2 linked regions of the Cricetulus griseus genome follow. The protein of the gene in region 1 purifies or fractionates together with the protein of each later gene. This does not show direct contact. Links are inferred from orthologs where the notes say so. Each region holds a gene or a part of one and is shown in the gene's direction. Other genes may lie near its edges.

What was found.
Region 2: the proteins of Slc37a3 (region 1) and Atraid purify together in Homo sapiens (affinity purification with mass spectrometry; 3 studies listed by BioGRID and IntAct, counting the BioPlex papers as one, with this or other methods). This does not show direct contact. The link is inferred for Cricetulus griseus from reciprocal best matches to the Homo sapiens genes SLC37A3 and ATRAID.

Annotation. Positions count from the first base shown.
Region 1 is NW_023276806.1:188,772,432-188,776,968, forward strand, and holds the start of Slc37a3 (sugar phosphate exchanger 3), read left to right. Parts: upstream 1-1,581; 5' UTR 1,582-1,672; intron 1,673-4,537. UniProt on the Homo sapiens protein: Unlike the other SLC37 members, lacks glucose-6-phosphate antiporter activity.
Region 2 is NC_048600.1:13,333,156-13,337,712, reverse strand, and holds the start of Atraid (all-trans retinoic acid-induced differentiation factor), read left to right. Parts: upstream 1-1,652; 5' UTR 1,653-1,708; coding exon 1,709-1,807; intron 1,808-2,449; coding exon 2,450-2,571; intron 2,572-3,659; coding exon 3,660-3,731; intron 3,732-3,910; coding exon 3,911-3,982; intron 3,983-4,229; coding exon 4,230-4,351; intron 4,352-4,557. UniProt on the Homo sapiens protein: Promotes osteoblast cell differentiation and terminal mineralization. Plays a role in inducing the cell cycle arrest via inhibiting CCND1 expression in all-trans-retinoic acid (ATRA) signal pathway.

The DNA of each region.
Region 1 (4,537 bases):
CCTCTGCTGGGGGATCTCGGTTGCTTCAGCTTTCCTAACCAGAAGTCTTCAGGCCTTTGGTAAGGTTTGTCTAAATCTTCGTGTGCACGTCAAAAGAAGCTTGGCCGACTTCACCAATGCCAGAAGACTGTGAAATGAACCAGGTCCAGGAGTGCCCCTGTAAGCAATGTTTACCATATTGACCACTGTGGCGGGAGTTCCTGTAAAGCTTTGCAGCTGGTTTGATTCCCGGGGTGTTAACACCTGGGCCTGGATCTGCCTTTTGTGACTGCTACCCTTTGTGTCCAGTACTTTCTGTTTGAAGTATATAAATCTTATCTGAGAGTTTCCTAAAGGTTCAAAGTCTATGCAAAACTTGGTTGTGGAAGGACTTAGAAGACTGAGATGTCCTGTGACTGGGAATTGCTTTGGCATGTGTCCCTTTGGGGAGCTTCAGATAAGAGGTTTTGGTGTGTTGAAATTGACATGCTAAGGTGTAAATTGTTTAACAATAAAAAAAAAAAAGTCTTTTGCAAAACTACAGTCAGTGGGTTCACTAGAAGCTGACTGGTTCCCCTGTGGCCACAAAGGCTAAAAATCACCCTAGAGTGACCCATATGAACTGAACACATGGAGGTGTTTCTGGAGCCTGCTTAGCTTCATGTTTTGTGTTTATCATGATTTTTGGATTCCTGCTCTGAGGGCTGAAAGTATAAAGAAGCATTCTTTTCCTCTTCCTCCCTCCCTCCCTCCCTCCTCCTCCTCTCTCCCTCTCTCTCTCTCTTTCTTTTTTTCTTTCTTTCTTTGAGACAGGGTCTCTCTGTAGCTTTGGAGCCTGTCCTGGAGCTCATTGTGTAGCCCCGGCTGGGACCCCAGAACTCACTGGGACCAAAGGCGCACACCACCACTGCCCTACTCAGGACGTGTTCTTCCTATTACCTGGTCTTGAACAACTCTGCAGAAGGAGATCTGGTGGCGGCAGGGGCATCTTCCTCCTTGGTCTCTTCCTCTTCTCCTTTCTATTTGTATGTATGTGTTTATCTATGTGTGAGTGATGCCACCTGTGTGCAGTGCCCACGGGAGCCAGAAGAGGGCGTCGAGTCCTCTGGCCCTGGAGTTACGAGTGGTCGTGAGCCACCGTGGGGACCATGTGGGGACCGAACCTGAGTCTCCCAGAGACCAAACAGCCAGTGCTCTTAACTGCTGAGCCATCTCTCCAGCCCCATTTTAAAAAAATGAACCGATTTATGTATTTAATCATCTCTCCTGCCCTGCTGCTGGGAATCGTAACATGCATGATTTATTTTGGTGGGGTGGTGATAGGCTGTAGTGCTGCAAGTACTGATAGGTGAAATGTTCCTACCTAGAAGGACAACTGCCTTTAATTATACAAAAATCTAAAGCAGAGAAAAAGCCTCTTTTTGGAAAAAAAAAAAATTGGTCAGCCTACCAGTTCCTCTCAAATTGTATCTTTCACTCATTGCCCTTTTCAGCCAAGGTAAACCTGACCTGCAGGCTCCATCCACCGCGGCAGGTGAAGCGGCATTGGCGGACTACAACTCCCGGCATGCCCCTGCACACTCGGTCACGTGAGCTCCCGGAAGCTGTGGCCACACCGCGCCCGGTGAGGTGGCGGCGGGGCGGCGGGCGGCGCGGAGCGGAGCGGAGCTGGTGCTAAGGCGGCGGGTCTCAGGTGCGAGCCTGCGTGCGTCCCGGGGCTCGGGGCCCTGGCCGGCTGGGGCGGGGCGGGGGCAGCTGGTGGGTGTGGCGGCGCGGGCACGGCTGGACCGAGCCGCGGAGCCCCCCGGAGCCGCTGGCGGCGTCCCGGGTGCGGCTGCTGCGCGGTCCTGAGGTCGCGTGCACCGCGGCGGGAGGAGGACGCCCGGGAGGGAAGGTGGCCCGGCCCGGCCCGGCCCGCGCACCACCCGCCGGTCCCTTGGCCTTGGATGATGGGATGCTCGAACCGGAGAAAAACGAAGCCCAAGGGACGGCCGCGCTTCAGGCGGGTGGGAGGCTTTCCGTAGGGTGCAGCGAGGTCAGGAGGGAGAAACTCGGCTTTTGTTTTCCATCAGGAGGACCCCAGTTGAGTTCAGCTGTTGCTTATTCGTCATTTCTTGGCCCTTCTCCTTTGCAGAGTGTGTGGCCTGTTGTCAATTTTGACAGGGACAATGGGGATGTGTCGTCCACTTAAGTTTTACTGTTTCCTGAAATATTTAGGCCATGCTGTGATAACTTACCGAAACGTTTACCGGAAGCCTAGTTGCCAGGGCGAGCAAAAAACAAGCTCGTAATTGCCAGCCTTCTTCTAAGCATTGCTTGGTCTCCTCACACACGTTTCTGTGTTTACGAAATAATCGCCGACAAAAAGAGCGCCTTCGCTGCTTTGATGGTTGGACTGTTTCTTCGCCATTCCTTCTTGCCAGATGTTTGCTGTATGACAGACTCTACCCTAGAAATCCAGTAAATCGTTTCATTTACTCCTTAGTGAGGAATGGAGCCTCAAAGAAGTGAACTAAATGGACTTGAACTCTGGTGTCAGAGCAATGTGTGGTCGCTCTCCGGCTTTCAGGAGCAAGTTCAGTGTTCGTTGTCTGAGGTTCTGGATGAGTGCCTGTTCATCAGTGAGGATGACATGCCATCTCAGTGACCATTGACATGGTGACTGCTTTGTCTGGAGGAGGGAGGAGAAAGAAGTTGTCTCTGAAACGTATCCAGAAATAGAAAATAGGGAGAATGTGGTCACAGGAATCTTGGTATAAAAGGATGTGGTTTTAGGAACCCTGAAACAGATAGCCAGGTTCTTAAACATCTGTGGTAATGAGGCGGTTTTAAGAAAAAAGAATTACTAGGTTTGGGGTGTGTGTGTGTGCGTGTGTGTGTGTGTGTGTGTGTGTGTGTGTGTGTGTGTGTGTGTGTACACGTGTATGTGTGTGTAATTGTGTGCGTGTATGTGTGTGTGTGAGATTGTGTGTGTGTGATTGTGTGTGTATGATTGTGTGTGTTTTGACAGGTGTCTTGTAGTCCAGGTCACCGTCATATCCCTGTGTAACTGAAGATGACCCTGAACTTCTGATCTTCCCATCTCTGGAGTGCTAGGATTGCTAGTGTGTACCACCATGGCAGGTGTCATGTGTGCCGGTCAAGCTCTCTGCAGGGGACTAGACCCTGCTTTTAAGGCAGGCTCTCAAACGAATGTGCACTCTGTCTGTTTTTGAGACAAGGTCAAACTCTCTAATCCAGGCTGGCCTCAAACTTGGGATCTTCCTGCCGGGCTTCTAGGAGTTTACACCAGGTAGGCTTGAATTTTGAAAAGAGAAGAGATGTGCATGGTACCCATAGATGGCTTCTAGTTAGATGATGAGAGATCAGAAAGATACCATGTAAGAGTTGAGCATTGTCCGTAAGTGATAGCACACACAGTATTGTGAAATGGCCAAACTCAACAACCGTCTAGTGCCTTTCTACCTACCAGTACTGTGAGTACACATAATCATTTTACTTTGTACAAGTAAAAACCAAATCCTTGTGAGTCAGATGATTGCCAGTTCTACACATTTGAGGGTGAAAGGGAACCGCGTTGGTTTGTAAGTTGGACTTTTCCTACCCTCAACTACATACCAGTGAGTTTTAGCTGTGGTAATTCTAATTATGTTTTACCAAGACTGGGGTGTTTTCTCTTTTAACTTTCCCACTTTCACAATATAATATGGAATCTAGTTAGGTCTGGGTTTGAATGTATATTTTGTCTCTCAAGAGAGATTACTTTCTGATATCTGTTTCTCATCTGAACACTACCTGGAGGGCTGACTATGATTATATATGCAAAGACCCTATGGGGTGCTGGTGTCTTGTAGGTATTCAGCCAAAGAAATAAATCATTGATGCATTCCGGAGGCAGAGGTGGATCTCTGTGAGTTAAAGTCCAGCCTGGTGTACAGAGCTAGTTCCAGGACAGCCAAGACTGTTATACAGAAAAACCCTGTCTCAAAAAAAAAAAAAAAAAAATTGACAAAGTCTTTTTTTGGGGTGGGAAGGGTCCTGGGGATACAACTGTGGATTTAGGACAGAGGAAAACATTTTTTTTTTTTTTTTTTTTTTATGGAGTTCATAGTAAACATGTAAATCATTAAAGAAGCAGAGATGGGAATAGAAACTTTTTATTTATTTATTGATGCTGGGTCTTGAACCCAGGGCCTTGCAAATGTATGTTAGGCAAGTGCTCTGCCACTGAAGTATATTTAGCTCTATTTTATTTTTGTTTAGAGACAGGATCCCAGTGTTGCCCAGGCTGTCATCTGTTACTGCACTTTGTAGTCCAGACAGGTCTTGACATTTTAACTGCATTGTCGGCTTTGAGTAGCTGGGACTGACAATATTTTGTGTTATCTCCATGCCCAGTGTATTTAATGTTTTGAAATGAAGTCTTGTTATGATGCTGACCTTGAACTCCTGGGTGCTCAAGCAGTCTTAATCTCCACCTCCCTCATAGCTGGGGCAGTGTGCTGCAGTATCCTGTTCATGAAAACTTTTTTTTCCTAAAGATAGAGAGGTCTTACTG
Region 2 (4,557 bases), on another chromosome or scaffold:
CAGAGGTAGGTGGATCTTTATGAGTTCCAGGCCAACCAGAGCTACATGGTGAGGCCATGTCTCAAAATGAAAACATGAGGGTGGCAGGTCCAGGTACTGACTCTACTTCTGGGGTTTTCCTGATAAATTATTTTCATTAGGCAGCAAGAATTCCCTAGTATGAAGAAACAAAGAGCTAAGCAGACAGGAAAACGCCAATCCAGTAACACAGTCTTCATTTCACACAACCCAGTTCTAGGAAAAGAACAATGGCTTTCTAAAAACCCCACTGATTCACACCAATGGACATGTCTATCTCAGAGGAGCCAAAAGAAAGCCAAGCTAAGTAGGGTCCCCTCTTAGAAACCCTGTCATCACACACTGCACTAGATATTTTAACTGCAGTGAAAGTACTGAAGGGTTGTGGGTTTCTTTACTGGGCCACAGGGCTAAATCCTCTTCCTCCTCTGAAATCTAAAGGAACACCTGCAGGGTCAACCGCCACCATTATGTCTTGGGTTTAAAATTCCTCAGTTTTCTCACTAAAACAAAATACTCCAGCAGCTAAATGTATTAGCAAATGTAAATTCAGGACTTCCAGGGAGGTACTTGACCATGTGGGCAGGAAACACAAGGAGGTTACCTGAAATGAACTCCAATTGTCTTTGGTGACCTTTTCAGGTGGTGTCCTCACCAAAAGCAATAGCTGTCCTTAGGTGTGACGGGTCTCTCCCAGCGCCCTCCCAGATAGGACTCCTGCGACTCCTGCGGAAGCGCTCGCTACCTTGCCTTGCGTCAGTGGTTCGGCCAGGACTACCAAAGTTCCTTCGTTCTTTCCGAAACCAGCACTGTCCTTTCCCTGGGAAGGCAATGAACGAGTTAGGGAAGCGTCTTTGCCGCTTCAACACCTTGCCCGGGCTCCCGAACACTACGCAACATTAAGGTGAAGGTTCCCAGACTCGTGTCCTCCCTGCCTGCGTCTGCCCTTCGCCCTCCGATCTTCGCCCCTCCATCACCCATACCCTCTCTCGATCCAGCTTTCCCCTTCTCTCCACACGTGGCGAACCCACCACACTCTGCGCTAGTATTTAAGACCTTCTTCCCCAGCCCACGCCGAGAGGCTCACCCCGCTCCCCGCCCCGCCCCTCCCAGCTCCGCCTGTCCCGCCCCGAGGAGGCTGAATTCGGCCTCTCTGCTGCTGCCCAATCCCCGCCCCATCCCATTCCATCCCACCCCATCCCGGCCCGGCCCACCTGCGAGACCTCCTCCACGTGGGTAGCTGGCCTGCGGGCCAGCCGGGCCGGAGCAGCGCCCGGCTTGGTGACAGCGGGACCCCACCCCCTTGCCCGCCCTGATCGCAGTGCCGCCATGTTTACTGAGGGCGGATGGAGAGGCCCAGCTGTCCGCACCGTGCTGAGGAAGCGTGCAGTAGACTCCAAGCAACTAAGCGGCGCCTGGGGCGGCCTGAGCTCCCGGAAGAATGGAGGGAGGGCGGGTCTGCCCACCAGGACCAGGCACAGTGGAGCGCAGACATGATCCCAGGAGTCGGCGAGCAGCAGCGGCGCTCTGGCAGATTAGGCCACGCCCCGCGGCGCCGGCCGAAGACCGATTAGGCCACGCCCCAGATTGACAGGATTTGGGAGACTAGGTCCCGCCTCGAGTGACGCGTGGGGGCGGGGCCTCGCGCTTGGCTCTCGCGAGCTGTCAAGAAGGTCGAAAGGAGTGGAAAATGGCGTCGCGCGAGCCAGGCAGTTCTGTGAACCCGGTGCCTTGGGCTGCTGCCCTGCTCCTGGTTGTGGGCATGGAAAGGGCTCTGGCTCTACCTGAGGTACAGGAGAAAGTCTGAGATATGTCTGAAGAAGGCTGCTGATCGTCAGCCTGGCGTCGAGCTCGCCCGCCGGTGGCTGTCCCAGCCCCAAGCCCAGATTTCTCCCTCCCTGAGGATTCCCTAGCCCTGTCCCAGCGGGAATCGTGCTCTCTCTCGAGTGCTCACGTAGTGCCGGCCACTGGCACCTTTGCCTTGCCCACATTCAGAGACCTTTGAAATTGGATCTCCTTGCTTTTGAGTAACTTTACCAGAGTCCCCCGGCCCCTCGGCCAGCTGTCTGTCCTTGCACGGATACTGTGCGTGTGCATTGGCAGGACTGTATTCTGTGATGCTGGAGCACTCTGAGACCTGCATGCAGCCCTCTAACACTTGCCAAACCATGCCTGTCAGGCGGAGAAGTCTCTGGAGAGGACATAATAGGGTCAAGTAATGATTCTCACAGATGAGGACCTGCTCTCGGGAAGGACTTGCACAGGGCGCTGATTTGGTGCCCGGTTGTAGGGGAAGAAATGGGTTCTATTTATAAAAGCCAGCTCTCTGCTCTGTGTTATAGTCCTCTGGAGGGAGGACCGACAGCTAACTATTGATTCTTGTTTGTTCTTTTTTCTTTCTGGAGTCTTAAGGTTTCTTTCTCTTCTGCAGATATGTACCCACTGTCCGGGAGGCGTGCAAAATACGTCCAGGGTAGCTGTTTACTGTGAGAATGCATCGGCGGCAATAATGCAAGCCCGATGCTGCCTGAGTCAGAAGGGCACCATCTTGGGGTGAGGGAAGAGAAGACATCCTTGGATACTCAAAATAAGTTCCCAGACTGGAGTCTACAGGCTCGCCTAACTGACTTTGGGGATAAATATTGGCACCTAACTGGAGGCATCCAATGTTAATTCTAAAACGTTTAAATTCGATGTAAATTTTTATTCCATAGGTAAAAGATCTTTTGGGTTTTTTTCCTAGATGCCCAGCTGATTTGCTTATTTTCGTTGTTTTATTTTGTTTTTTCTTTCATTAAAACCTCTGTGGCTGAGCCTGGTCTTTGTAATTTCAGCACTGGGGAGGACATAGGCTGGGCAGTGGTGGTTCATTCCTTTAATCCCAGCACCTGGGAGGCAGAGGCAGTCAGGTCTCTGTGAGTTCAAAGCCAGCCAGGGTTACACAGAGAAACCCACAGTCACCCTTAGTTACTTAGGGAATTTAAGACTAGCTTGGGTTATACTGAGATCTTGTCTCAAAAAGAAATCATTTCAGTGGGGATGCTGGACACTGTGGTTCTTCTCTTTAACCTGGCATTTGAGAGGCTGAGGCTGGAGGACTGTCACAGGTTAGACCAGCCTGAGCTGCAGAGTGAGACCCTGTCTCAAAACAAAACAAGTCTCTGTAGAGTGGTGGCTGTGATTGTTGCTTGGTGACAGAGTGCTTGCCTCAAACATACAAGGGCTGTGTTTAATCCCCAGCAGCAACAACAAAAACCTCTGAGTCTGAGAATCACAGGATTAGAGCTACTAATCCTGGAGAAAAATAACACAAAGTTTCTTCCAATATTTGCACAGTGCATAGCCTTACTGGCCAGAACTGTGTGATCCAATAGAAATTTCTGTTGATGATATAAATGTTCCATATCAGTACTAATCAGCACAGGAACCACTTGTGAGAATACTCTTGAATTTTAGGTAAATTAAAATGTCTACATGTAGCTAGGGCTAACTAGATTGGATAATACATGATTACAATGTCTACCATCACACTTCTCTTATAGTTCTGAACACAATGATGTTCCATGGGGTATGTGCACAAATACTAACCTTGCCAGGGATGGAAAAGAGACATAGTTACATTAATCACTTTGTTCCTTCAGGCTAGATCTCCAGAACTGTTCCCTGAAGGATCCTGGTCCAAAGTTTTTTCAGGCTTCTACTGCTCTTATCATGTAAGTGGTTAGGTACTTTCCTAATATGGTGATGGGAAAGTCTTTGGAGATAACTCTTAACATTAGTGTCTAAACCTATACAACTGAGGATAGGGATTAGATTAATAGGCCAGGAAATCATGTATAAAGGTAAATATCATGCTTTTCTCAACAGAGTACTAACAGTGTGTACTTTGCAGAGACCTTCAAGCAAATCCTCTCAAGGATGGTTTGACCAACATTTTCCGTGGCTTTACCCAGCTCCAGACTCTGTGAGTAGTGGGGAAGAGAGAGTCATAGGTGTTAATTATTAAGTGCTCAGCAAAATCGAAGCTGCTATTGCTGTTGTGTGTGTGTGCATATGTGCATGAGTGAGTTTGTATGCACATGGGTATCTGTGTGCATGTGTGTTGGGTACCCATGAACCCATGCCTTATATGTCGATGAATGTTTGTTCTACTACTGAGCTAACCCTAACCTCTTTGGCTGTGCATTTATGATCACACGTGTTCTCTTCAGGATACTACCACAAGATGTCACCTGTCCTGGAGGTATTAATGCCTGGGAAAGTATTACCTCTTTCACGGACAAGCAAATTTGCCAAGGACAAAAGGACCTGTGCAATAGCACTGGAAGCCCAGGTATGCTGTAGCATGGCCATCTCACCGGGGAGTCCTTTTCCTTCTTTGTAAGTGAAGCCATTCTCTACTTCTCCACTTTAGAAAGACAAAGGATGCTAAGTACCTTTTTGTCCAGAGTTCTCCATTCCCGGAAAATGTTTTTATTATTATTATTATTATTATTATTATTAATTATTATTTTGTTTGGTTTTGGTTTTTCGAGTCAG